Caenorhabditis elegans: one gene and its partner. The protein of the gene in region 2 interacts with the protein of the main gene of each other region in a pairwise test. Each region holds a gene or a part of one and is shown on either strand. Other genes may lie near its edges.

Evidence for each region. The genes of interacting proteins can lie anywhere in the genome.
Region 1: the proteins of vit-2 (region 2) and jip-1 interact in a two-hybrid assay, tested with the Caenorhabditis elegans proteins (one large-scale study listed by BioGRID).

What each region holds. Positions count from the first base shown.
Region 1 is NC_003280.10:1,325,223-1,330,262, reverse strand, and holds the start of jip-1 (PID domain-containing protein), read right to left. Parts: upstream 3,269-5,040; 5' UTR 3,263-3,268; coding exon 3,167-3,262; intron 2,427-3,166; coding exon 2,214-2,426; intron 1,597-2,213; coding exon 1,436-1,596; intron 850-1,435; coding exon 692-849; intron 1-691.
Region 2 is NC_003284.9:5,098,906-5,106,755, reverse strand, and holds vit-2 (Vitellogenin-2), read right to left. Parts: upstream 5,725-7,850; 5' UTR 5,714-5,724; coding exon 4,841-5,713; intron 4,789-4,840; coding exon 4,504-4,788; intron 4,458-4,503; coding exon 1,278-4,457; intron 1,230-1,277; coding exon 983-1,229; intron 935-982; coding exon 678-934; 3' UTR 587-677; downstream 1-586. Other genes in the region: C42D8.9 (CUPID domain-containing protein), read left to right, coding at 1-375, 425-496. UniProt on the Caenorhabditis elegans protein: Precursor of the egg-yolk proteins that are sources of nutrients during embryonic development. Together with other vitellogenins, may play a role in modulating life-span, acting via induction of autophagy and lysosomal lipolysis.

The DNA of each region.
Region 1 (5,040 bases), on a different chromosome or scaffold from region 2:
TCCGCTGATTTTCGAGCATTTTCACTATAAAATTCGTTTTCAGCGCCATTTTTTACTCTTACCCCAACTTTTTTACGCAATTGTAGAAAACTGTGCATTTTCTCGTGAGGGGCTCGGTGTTTGCGTACTTTTCGAGCTACAGTAACCCAAAATGGTCAAAATTGAGCAGAGAACACGGGGGAAAATGGTGCTAGAGTGAAAAAATTCGAGGAATCTGAATTTTCACTTAATAATTTGATTTTGTGCAAAACAATTGGATAAAATTTTTTTTGAAAAACAACTTTTAAAATTTTCTTCAAATTTTTATATTTTCTGCCGATTTTAAAACATTTTCACTATTAAATTCGTTTCCAGCACCATTTTTCACCCCTACCCCAACTTTTTTACGCAATTCCAGAAAACTGTGCATTTTCGCGTGAGGGGCTCGGTGTTTGCGTACTTGCGTACTATTGGGGCTACAGTACCCCAAAATGATCAAAATTTAGCAGGAAACACCAGGAAAAATGGGTCTAGGGTGAAAAAATGCGAGGAATCTGAATTTTAACGTCAAAATTTGATTTCGTTTGAAATTTTTGGGAAAAAATTCGATTTTTTTTCTTTTTTTTTTTTGATATTTCAAAACATTTTTTCACAACCAATTTTTGTAGTTTATAGTAAAGCCTAGACTACAAACTACAGTAAACAAACTAACGATTCATTGGAGAAACACCGCGAAATGTTTCATCGAAGAAGTTGGGCGGCGAGGACCAACATCCGGACGGGCGGTTTAGAATACGATCCTCATCATCTTCAGAATCCTTATCATGGAGGTTCAGTGATAGATCAGAGTCACATAGGCTCGGGGAGTACCTGGAAATTTGAGTTTAGAGTATGCTGGACTTTGGCAGACCAATACTGAACCAAATTTTCCAAATTTTCACAAAATCTAGATATTTTCAACATTTTTCATATCAAAATTCACGCTCAGCGTCATTTTTTACCCCTAAACCCGCCTTTTCAGCCGATTTTAAGATTTTCTGCAATTTGTCGTAAGATGCTGGGTGTTTGCGCACTTTTCAAGCTACAGTAACCTCAAATTTTCAAATTTTACGCTAGGACTCCAAAAAAAAGTATTCTAGAAGTGAAAAATGGTGAGGAATTCGAATTTTTATGTTTCAAAGGGGGAAAATTTGGATTAACAGGGAAAATGTTCCTTTTTTGCGATATAAAAATGATTTTTCAACAATTTTCATGCCAAAACTCAATATCAGCATGATTTTCTACCCATATCTCTACTTTTTCAGCAAAATCGGAGTTTTTCTGTGCATTTTTGCGTCACGCTCACGGTGTTTGCGGACTTTTGGGGCTACCGTACCCCAAAAGTCTCAAAATTAACGATAGAGACCCAGAAAAAACGGGTAACATGTGAAAAACGATGGAGAATTCGAATTTTCACCTCATAATATTGGATTTCCGCCGCTTTGACTTCAAATTTTCATTTTCTTCCTCAGGGTCCGGCCATTTTTCATCAAGTGTCGGAAGTAGGTCGGCTACTGAGTATTCTGCTTCTTCCGCTATGCTTTTACTCGTTGATTCCATCATTTTTGATAAGGAAATCTGAAAAATGGTGTTCTGGTCTGCTAGACTACAAACTACAAACTATAAACTATAAATTGTAAAATATATACAAAAAATTTAAATTTGGCAGATCAAATCATTTTGAAACTGGCAAATATTGGTCTGACGGACTACAAACTATAAACTACAAACTACAAACTACAAACTACAAGTTATAAACTACAAACTATAAACTACAAACTACAAACTAGAAACTACAAACTACAAACTACAAACTACAAACTACAAACTACAACTATAAATCTCTGACTTCAAAATAGCAGATCTAGCCAAACAAAACTATTAACCTACATATGACAGACTCAATCAATTTTAAACTTGCAAATTTTGGCCTGATGGACTATACACTACAGACTACAAACTACAAACTACAAACTACGAATTATAAACTACAAACCATAAACTACAAACTATAAATTACCAACTTCGAAATAACAGATCTAACCACACAAAACTATGAACCTGCAAATGGCAGACTCAATCAATTTTAAACTAAAAAACATTGGTCTGACGGACTACAAACTATAAACTACAAACTACAAAAACTACAAAGACTACAAACTACATCTTCACCACCACCTCCTCATCCAGCTCACCTCAAAGCTTGTTTTGCTCGGCTTAATTCTGTTATTTTTCATCGCTGCCGCCGCTGCAACGTCATCAGAGTTACGGGGAACTGCGTAAGCGGATTTCGATTTAATAATACTCCGAAGACACGGATGAACCAGAAATTCGGCGTCAGAATCCTCTTCTGAATCGTCATCACCTCCAGAGGAATTGTCGTTGTGCAGCCAGTCGGCTGAGTAGGACTGGAAAAAAATTCAGGAAATTTGGAGGTTTTAGAGGCTTCTTTTTGGTTTTTCGATATGAAAATCGAGTTCCCGACATTTTTTACCCTGGAAACTTTTTTTTTTCGAGCTTCTAGCTCATTTTTGAAATTTTTTGGGTTACTGTAGCTCCAGAAGTACGCAAACACTGCACCTTACGACAAAATGCAGAATGCTTTGAAATTGACTTAAAATGGTGTTTGAGGGGTAAAAAATTGTGTTGAAAATGAAATTCGGTGTGAAAAATTCCAAAAATGAGTTGCGTTTTTTTGCCGAGAAAATTTTTTACTGGAAAATTTGTAGAAATTTGAAATTTTTCACAATTTTTATTAAGAAATTCGGATTCTCCGTAATTTTTCACCCTTAATAAGTTTTTCTCTAAACTTCTGGCTCAATTTTAAGTTTTTTGGAATTACTGTAGCCTCAAAAGTACGCAAACACAAATCGATGCACCATACCTTACGACAAAATGCACAGAAAATTAAAATTGGCTGAAAAAGCTGGGAATGGGGTAGAAAGTGGCGCTGAATTTGAATTTTGATATGAAAATTTTTAAAAGTTGCTGGTTTTCGAGAAAAATTTCGAGTTTTGAAAAAAAAAAAATTTTTAATTTTTTTGTTGCTTTTTGCAAAAAAACCGGTTTAGGAGCAAAAAAACGCTGCTGAATTTGATTTTTATAGTTAAAACCTTTAAAAATCAACGGTTTTCCTGAAAAAACCTACCCTCCGAATAACCGTCGGACACTCGTCATCATCCTCGTCCTCCGTGTTCTCCTCAATCGGAAAATCATCGCATTTTCGACATTCAAATGCGCTCATTTTGTGCTGAAATTTTTAAGACTTAAAATTTCAAGTAGTGGAAAAGAAGTTTTGGAGCAAAAAAAAAAAAAGAAAAAAGGAAAAATAAAAGTGAATCTCTGTTCCAGACATGCGCGCTGGAAAAAATGATGAATGGAGTGGATGAGAGAGTGAAGAGAGTGCAGAGAAAATTGCGTTGAAAAACAACTCAAAAAAGGGGATCATGGAAAAAATATTCAGAAAATTTTCAAAACTTTTGTTCTTGAAAAATTCCAAAAAAAAATTTTTTTTCACCGAAATTCCAAAAATAATTTTTTTTTCCAAAATTTAACTTCTCAACAATTTTTTCGTCAAATTTTACAGCCGAAGCCTTTTTTACCGAGTTTCTAGATCAATTTTCGAGTATTGCGGGGGTACTGTAGGTTCAAAAGTACGCGAACACCGGACCTTGCGACAAAATGCACAGAAACTCAAAATTGCCGGAAAAGACGTGGTAGGGGTAAAATCAAGACCTGAATTTGAATTTTTAGATGAAAAATTGAGAAAGTGAAAAATGAAAAATAAAGAAAATAAGTTTGGAAAAAAAATTTTCTAAAATTTTTTTTTCCCGAAATTCCAAAAAAACTTTTTTAAATCAAAATTGAAGTTCCCTACGAATTTTTTGTCAAATTTTCCAGCCAAAGTCTTGTTTCCGAGTCTCTAGCTCAATTTTTAAGTCTTGCGGGGTACGGTAACACAGAATCTCAAAAATGTCGGAAACAGGTGTGGTATGGATAAAATAAGGTGCTGAGTTTGAATTTTAACATGAAAATCAGGAAAAATCTTGATAAAATAAAGATTTTCGAGAAAAAAACATTTTGCCAAAAACTCAACTTTTCGGGGGTACGGTAACCCCAAAAGTACGCAAACACCGGACCTTACGACAGAATGCACAGAAACCGAAAGTTGTCGGAAAAGGATGGATTAGGGGTAAAATTAGGTGCTGAGTTCGAATTTTAGCATGAAAAATTGATGAAAATTGAATAAATAAAGATTTTCGGGAAAAATTGCTAAAAAAAATTTTTTTTTGCGATGTTTTTTTCTGGCTTATAATTTTCACCAATGTTATTGGCTATATCATATCACGAGTTTTGACATGTTATCTCAATTTCCTCCCCCCCCTTTCTTCACTCCATTTCCCTCATCGAGAGAGCACACACATTTTCCAATAAATTCCGCGCATTTCCTGCTCTCTGAGGGTAGCGTCTTCTTCACACTAATCTCCCGACGAGATAGTATGTGAAAGTGAGAGACGCAGAGAAAATGAGAGCAAAAAAAAGATGTAGTAATGAGTGGGAATAGATTAAGGGGTACCCCCTGAAAGAGGGGGGGGGGGGGGGGTGGGGAGGTGCAGGTTTTTTTCGAAAAACCAAAAAAATTTCTCAAAATCCAACGATTTTCATAATTTTTCACATTGAAATTCGATCTCAGCACCTCATTTCACCCCTAGAACACTTTTTTCAGAGGATTTTGAGATTCTGTGCATTTTCGCGTAAGGTGTGCGGTGTTTGCGGACTTTTGGGGCTACAGTACCCCCCAAAAGACAAATTTGAGCAGGAAACATAAGAAAAATGTTAGAAATTTAATATATAGCCCTATAATTTATTTCCAGGCGAATATATCTTCCGAAAAAGAAATTTTGAAAGAAAAAACTAAAAAAATTGAATTTTCAATGTTTTCAGGTATTTTTTGATAATTTTAACTGTCAAATTCAAGTTCAGCGCCTCATTTCACCCCTGGGACTGTTTTTTCCGATGATT
Region 2 (7,850 bases):
AAAGCTGCAAAGATAGCGGAGCTGGAAGCAAGAATTGAACAATTACGGCGAGACTCGTTCGATGACACCAGTATTGATGAAACGACCGACCTTGATCAGCTAACGATTTCCCGCCCAACGGCTGTTTTTGCGGAAACTGGAAATATCTCACTAGATGGCACAAGCCAGACGGTCCAAAGAGCATCGATGTCCTCGCCGGGTAGTGTCACAGTGGTTTCATCTCCGACGATTGGTGTTTTGGCGGCAGCCCCTACAGCGATTGGTGCGTTGATGGGAGCATCTCCTGGCGTTGGAGCTTTGGTCGCTGCAGCTCTTAATCCTGTTCAACAAAACCCTTCGGAGAAAGAGGATCCTGATGGTGGTTCTCTTAGTACTGTTGGTTATAATTTCCGGTTCTTTCAAAGCATAGACTAGCTTTTTTCAGGACTTTCACGTTGTACACGACGAACTGAAACACGCTATGGCATTGGACAAATCTATCAAACGGCACTGCTAGCGACGCTATTTGTATAAATATTTCCTTCATTTCAATTTTTTTTCCAATTTTCAGTAATGCAATTTTTTTAAAAAGAATAAAACAATAGTTCAAAGTGAAAATTTTATTTAGAAAATGTCAAAAGACTACAATCAAACAGATGTGAATGATCAATTTACATAAAAGTGCCGGTCTAGCTTAATCAATAAGCGACGCAGGCGGTTGGGACCTTGACAGACTCAACGAAAGAGACTGGGTAGTCGTCAAGTTGGAGTGGCTGTTGGCGAGACTCCTTCAAGAGACGGCTGGCATCTCTGTTGTGACGTTGCAAGCAGGTGAAGCGGATCTTTCTCTGTTGTTGCTGCTCGACCTCGTATCCGCGGCGGCACTCGGCTACTGGCTCAACGGAGAAGCAGATGCGGTGGGAGAACTCCTTGATTTGTGTCTTCTCGACAAGATCTTAAATTAAAAATTATCGATATGAAATTTGAAGAAATTGTATCTTACCGGATTTCTTCTGGCTTCTCTGGTTCTTCTGGCTCTTCTTGGTGTTTTCCTGCTCGTAATCGTAGGTCTCCTCAGATGAATACTCATCAGATTGCTCCTCGTCTCTCTCGTACTTTCTGTAGTTCTTCTTCTCGGAAAGACGCTCCTCCTCGGCTTCGCACTCCTCGTTCTTGAGAAGGTATGAGCGGTGAAACTCTTCGATGTCTTCGGTTTCGGTGTTATCGGAAGTGTAGAACTCGTTGGTGGACTGAAAATTTTTGTTATAACTCAATATAAATTTCTACACTGAACTCACCTCATCATCATTGTTTCCGCAAAGTCCGCAAAGTTGATTCTTGCGGCTGTAGGATGGAAGTTGGGTCTTGATGGTGTATCCGTCAAAGCGAACCTCTCCTTCTGGAAGCTCAATAACAATAGCGGACTCTCCGAGTCTCTCGATTTGGTAAGCAGAATAATCCTCAGATTGGATCTTCTTTCCGTCAACCTTAACGCGGATCTCCTCGTTCTGGAGTTGGGCAACAATTTCTTGTTCTCCACGGATAACCTTGATGATCATCTCTTCAGAATTCTTTTCAGTCTTCTTGGAGAGAACAGCGAAAGTTGGCTCCTCGGAGCAATCCTTGGCGATAAGAGAGTAGCAGGTGGTGAGTGGAGTGTTGTAAAGGACATCATCGAAAGTGCGGATTTGGTTCTTTTGCACCTTGCAGACAGATCCGGAAGCCTCAGTAAGTTGGTGCTTGACGGAACGTTGAGCAATGGATGGAAGGTAGACACGTGGAACTTGAACGTTTTTGAGCTCAATGCGCTCCATTGGGGATTGCATGGTGATGTTGACGTATTGGCGGGACATTGGCTCAACTGTGAGTTGGACGACGACGCGATCATTCTCGTTGTTCTCTGGGCGGCTCGAGACAGTCCAGTAGTTGTAGGTCTTAACAAGATCGAAATAACGGGCAAGAACTTGTTCGGTTTCACGGGTGAGCTTGTACTCAGCAACAGCGTTGATCTGGTTAAGACGGGCGGCCTTGATCAAAAGCTCGTACTCTGGCATTCCATTGAATTGACGGTCCATGTTACGCTCGTATTTCTTCTGTTCTTTGGATTGTTGGAGTTGAGCATTGACGGTGACTTCGCTCTTCTTCTGGGATCCCCAGGTAGAGGTAAGAGAGAGTTGAACCTCACGGTGGGGTTGATCGCGGAGTTGACGGAGGGATGATGGCATCTCTGGGCGGACAACAAGAAGTTGGGAGCGGAGAGTCCATTCCTTGGTTTCCTCAAGGATTGGGGAGCGGCGGATTTCAACTTCCCATTGGCACATGCGGACTTGCTTGTCACAGACGGTGGTGAGCTCGGTGTTCATGGTGTAGTCACGTGGGGCCTCAAGTTTCAAGGAGATGACGGATTTGTATCCTTGCTCCTTCTGGATGTTCTTGACCATCTTGTTGAAGTACTCACGGCGGCTCTCGGTGTTCTCTTGTTCGAGCTCGAACTCCTTTTCGAAGATCTTGTTGTACTTGATTTGGGAGAGTTCGGTCTTCTCGAGTTGTCCAACGGTGAGACGGGCAGTGAATTCGGCTGGACGGTTCTTGTTCTCAACGGAAACCTCGAAGTCTTGCTCGGCAAGAAGCCAGTTTTCAAGAGTGTGTTGGTTGAGGATGTTTCCGCGGGTGGAGACTTCAAGTCCGAGGAAGTTGAAGACTTTCTCAATTTCCTGAGTCTTTTGTTGCCATTGTGGAACAACGACGGTTCTCTCTTCAGCCTCAATGTATTCGAACTTCGAGAATCCTGGGAAACGAAGGAAGACAACTGGGCGAGTGGTGAGGGAGACGATCGATTTTTGGTTCTCTGGAACGACAACCTTGTAGACGATTTCGAAGTTTCTCTTCATTCCAGCGACGGCTTGAATCTTGATTGGGGTGTAGGCGCGGACGGATTGAACGCTCTTGACTCCTTGCTCGAAGAGTGGGGTGAACATTCTCATCTCGTAGACGTGGGTGGCAGCAACAGATGGGCGAGCCTCAACGGTCAAACGAAGTTCCGTTCCCTCGAGTTCAAGAGAGAATTGTCCTTCAGCCGAGATGACGGTTGGGATCTTTCCAGAGATGGTGAGTGGAAGCCCAAGAGTTGTTGGGAATTTGCGGATAGCTTCGTAGAAGTAAGCGGCATGGTGCGTCTCGAACTCGAGCTCTTGGTTGAGAAGACGGCGGATTTCGCTGAACTGAACCTTTCCGTTGCTGGTGAACTTCTCGATAAGATTCTCAACAAGTTGTCTGTCAATTGGAAGGAAGGCGTAGTCCATGTCCTTGTAACGAAGGTAGACCATGGCGAAGGCATCCTTCTCGGTGTAGGTAGCTGGGCGAGCACGGATGTTCATTTTCTGGGCAAGTTCCTTAAGAAGCTTGATTCCAGTTTGAATACGGCGTCCGCGAACAACAGTGGTCGACTCCTTCTCGAGGCTTTCGAGTTTCTCAAGAGCCATCTGAACATATTTGTCCATGTGCTGCTGAGAGAATCCGATTTGGGCAAAGTACTTGTTCCAGTTTCCTCCGAAGACGGCATCAAGAGAAGCGTGAAGATCCTTTGGCAAGAAAGAGTTCTTCTCGAAGATAGCGGCAAAGTCAAATTGAGCTCCAGAGAAGGAGTTTTGAAGGAAGAGTGGAAGTTGAGCGTAGGAGGAAGCGATCATTTGTTCTTGTGGTTGATAACGAGTGAAGGAAAGAACCTTTGAGCAAACGATAGCAACACGTTGGTAACATGGGTTGGTGGACATGGCAAAGTGACGGATCATCTGGTGGGTAAGAGCAGCAACTTGTTGGTTGGTCTCCTTCTCCATTTGGGAGACAACTTGGACGAGGAGGGACTCTTCTGGGCGGGTATGCATCATTCTCCACAAAGCAAGCATGCGGATCTCTGGCTCGTATTGTCTGTTCTTGTAGATTGGGAGGAGTACCTTTTGGATCTTGCGTGGCATGGTGTCCTTAAGAAGTCTGAGGGCATCAATGGCTTCCTTGCGGACTGGGAGTGGTTGGCGCTTATCAACAATGATCTCGTTGAGTTGGTTGACGGAGATGTCGAGTCCAGCGTTTCCGATGGTCTTGAGGGCCAAAATCTTCTCGTAGGTGGTCTCAGCATCCTTGTATTGTTGCATGAATACGCGGAGGAACTTCTCCTTGAGCTCACGCTTGTCCTCACGAACGAGTGGACGGATGTTCTTGTAGTCAACAATTCCGCGGACAACTGATCCAGCGGCGAGCCAAGCAGCTTGACGGACAACCAGGTTGTTCTTGGCAACGCGAGACTCGGCGAACTTGATGAGTGCCTCAGCGATGCTTTGGGATGGGAATGGTGTCTCTTGGATGGTCTTAAGAATTTGACCGAGTGGGAGAATGTCCTCGTTTTCCATGTGAACAAGGATGTGTTGAATTGTGTTCTTGGTTCCAGCAATAGCAAGAGCGTGCTCCATCAATGATTGGATCTAAATATTGCAAGGTATAGGATATAATGAAACTGAAATTTTTTACCTTCTTGTCAGCCTTGACGTAAAGAGTCTCGTGGATCTCCTTAAGTTGGGAGGTGGAGGTGGTGCGGAAAATGCGGACAAGACGAGCAAGGAAGTGGGAGGTCTCTGGCATGTTGTTCTCGACTTCTTGGATTTGCTCAGTGATAGTCTTGATCAAGTGCATCTTCTTGTCGAGTGGGAACTTCTCGAATGGGGCGAACTCAGCCTTGTCTCCATTCTTGAAGAAGTCCTCAACGAGTTGCTCCCAACGGGAAGAGTAGATGATGCTTTCCTTCTCTCCATTGACCTGAAAGAATATTTTTCTGAGAACATACTGTAAAAATTATAGATTATCGTACCTTCTTGATGTGGCTCTTGATGGAGTGGTTCTCCTCAAGAACGAGCTTTGAGCGGGTTTCAGTCTTCATTACTTCTTGTCCGTTGACGTTGACAGTGTAAAGGGAGCGGACCTCGGATTCCTTAAGCTCTTCGTTCTCCAAAACGTAGGTGTAGACAGTTTGTGGGCGGATGAGCTCGGTGTCCTTCTCGCATTCTGGGCACTCGGAAGAGTAACGAAGTCCGTAAGCGATCTCGGAACGTTCGGTGCACTTATCGAAGTTGATGGACTTGGTGATGATGGTCTTCTTCTGCTCACGGATGACAGTGTAGGCGACTTGGCAGTCTCCTTCAAGGGTCTTCTCGTTGGTGAAGAAAGAAGTGTTTTCCTCAGATTGTTCCTCCTTGTCATAAGAAGATTCGATCTTCTCAATCTCGTTTCTTGGAGCAATTGGGTTGAAAGAGATCATGTTGACAACAGCTCTCTTCATGTTCTTTGACCATTCAGCGTCTTCCTTGTCAAATTGGAGCTCGGAGATAAGTCCATTTCTGAGTTGAGCACGGAGTGGGAGTTCGAGCATTTGCTTGTACTCCTCGGAGAGCTCGCGCTGCTCCATGGAGTTCAAGGAAGGCATCTGCTCGGACTCTGGGAGGTGGGAAGCGGCCATGCGGATGTTGACAAGTTGAAGGTGGATGTAGCGGTCATCGACGGCTTGAATGCGGGCACGTGCAGAAATACGGGATTGGGAAAGCTCAGAGGAAGCGGATGGGAGTCCGGAAAGGACGAGGCCATCGAACTTGTAGTGATAGTCAGTTTTTGGCTCGAAGGTGCGCTCGAAAGCTGGAGAGGAGGCGAGGGCCAAGGCCACGAGAGAGGCGATGATGATCGACCTCATGGCTGAACCGTGATTGGACTGTTTTCAGTGCACCTTTATATACGGCTAAAGATTGACATATGTTCGATTGACTTCATATGGAAGTTATAGCGTTTTAGCGCATTGATAAGCTCATTGATGGACACATTCAAGCATTCGCTCCGCTTTGTGACCCTTATCAGAAACAAATTGCAACATTCGGTGAGAGCCCTGTCTATTAATTTTGAATGAGGGGTTCTAAACATATAACTAAATTGTTTCAAGTAATACAGTTTGATCACACTGCACTTTGATACTCATGACTTTTTAACGATGAGGTGATTCTGGACATGATGAAACTCAGCTAGCACATGGTATTTAAAACAAAGTCATTACTTTTTTACTTGCTAGTTGCATTGTGACCGACAGGATAGAAAAATCTGCAAAAAAAACTTGGTAAAATTGTATTGTAGGCACCTAAAACGCAACCAGTTTTCCTCAATTGGGCACACAGGATCACAAAAACTAAAACTGAATCCAAAAAAATATGATAGAACTAACAAATGTTAAAACTTAAAACAACTAAACATTAAAAACCCAATTATTCACAAACTTCACCAGATGTTTTGACATTATTCTAACTTAACATTAATTGTACGTCTAGCAAAAATCTGATTAGTTGGAAATCCGCGGCATCCCTAAAACTTTTTCATTTTCCAGTGTTCTGCGTATTATTCGGTTGTCAGTAATTCCCAAATCTGGACTATAAGGTCTCACAAACGTCCGGTACTGTGATTGTGTGTTAATTGTTTCTAAATTAACTTGAATTCACCATTATTTATTTGTAACTTATAAGAAATCTGTTTTGTTTGTATTTTTTTTTTACTTCCCGTTCAGAAAGTCGACTATTTTTGATCAAGTACTTTATGCCACGAAAACCAATATCACGCTAGTTGTTGAAATCGACAACGCCGCTGGGGTGGTCGCTGCGCACTTGGCGAATCCGCAACACAGGAGAAAAGATTGGATAGTCAAATGACCCAGAAATGTCCGTGGAGGAATATAGCAGTCTCGGCGGTGTACGACGCGACGGAATTCGGATGTAGGACAGAGACTCCTAGTAAGAAGGAGGAGGAGGGGGGTCCTTTCCCGAAAAACACTCCCTATTCTTTCTTCCTTCCCTTTCGGTTATCACTCCACACTTGTTGATGTCACAACCGATCCGGACATTCAACCCGCACCGATTGCCTGTGTCTCCATTTCCAAGGAGAAGTGTATCTCCGATATATACAACTTTCATATTTATTTCAAATGTTTGAACTATACAGTTTATGATATTTTTGGTTCAAATGGTTTAATTCCAAAAACGGAACCATTAGTTAATACGTTTTTGTTGTTCCTGTTTGAATTTTTTGAGCCTTTTCCTATCAATTACTTTTTGAAATCTAACAGAAATTTTGAAACCAAATAACTTTTTCATAGTCCTCTCAGATTTGCTTCGACGTCTCAGCTTTTCACAATACTCATAGAATAAGTAATATAATTTATCAAAAGAAACAGTTGTGATAATAATTAATGTGTTTCAACGGTATTTGTAAAATATCTGTAGTTTATGTTTGTAAAACAATTTTGTATATATGTTTCGGCTCACTTAAGCTTTCTAGGCCAATTTCAGGCGTTTTAGACTCATTTGTAGGCTTATCGGGCTGTTAGGTAGGATAGTCCCTATAAAATAAGTTGAATAATGTTTTGGAATAAAAAACGAAAGTTTGGAAAAAAACATTTTGAGGTGTATATGTTTTGCGTCGTCTTTAAGTTTCATTGTTTTTTGTTACAAAAATTTTAATTCATAAACTTTCTAAGCAATCCTTATCTTCGATCGTTGGGATTAGAAAGGAAACACTCCTAGACGATTACTTTCGCCGATTCACCCACTTCTCATTTTCCTTCATATCCCCCACTCCGTCAGTTTCGTAATCCCTTACAAATTTCCATCGTCACTATGACCCCAATAACGCGTTGCCTTCTGATCTGATCTTTCCCCCATTTTTTTTTCATCGTCAATCCGAAACATGTAAGAAATAGATAGGATTCGTTGACACCGGTATTCAGGAATTTCTATTGGATGTGAAGCGGTGAATAGAATTGTGGAAGCAAAACCAATTGTGCATATCGTCCC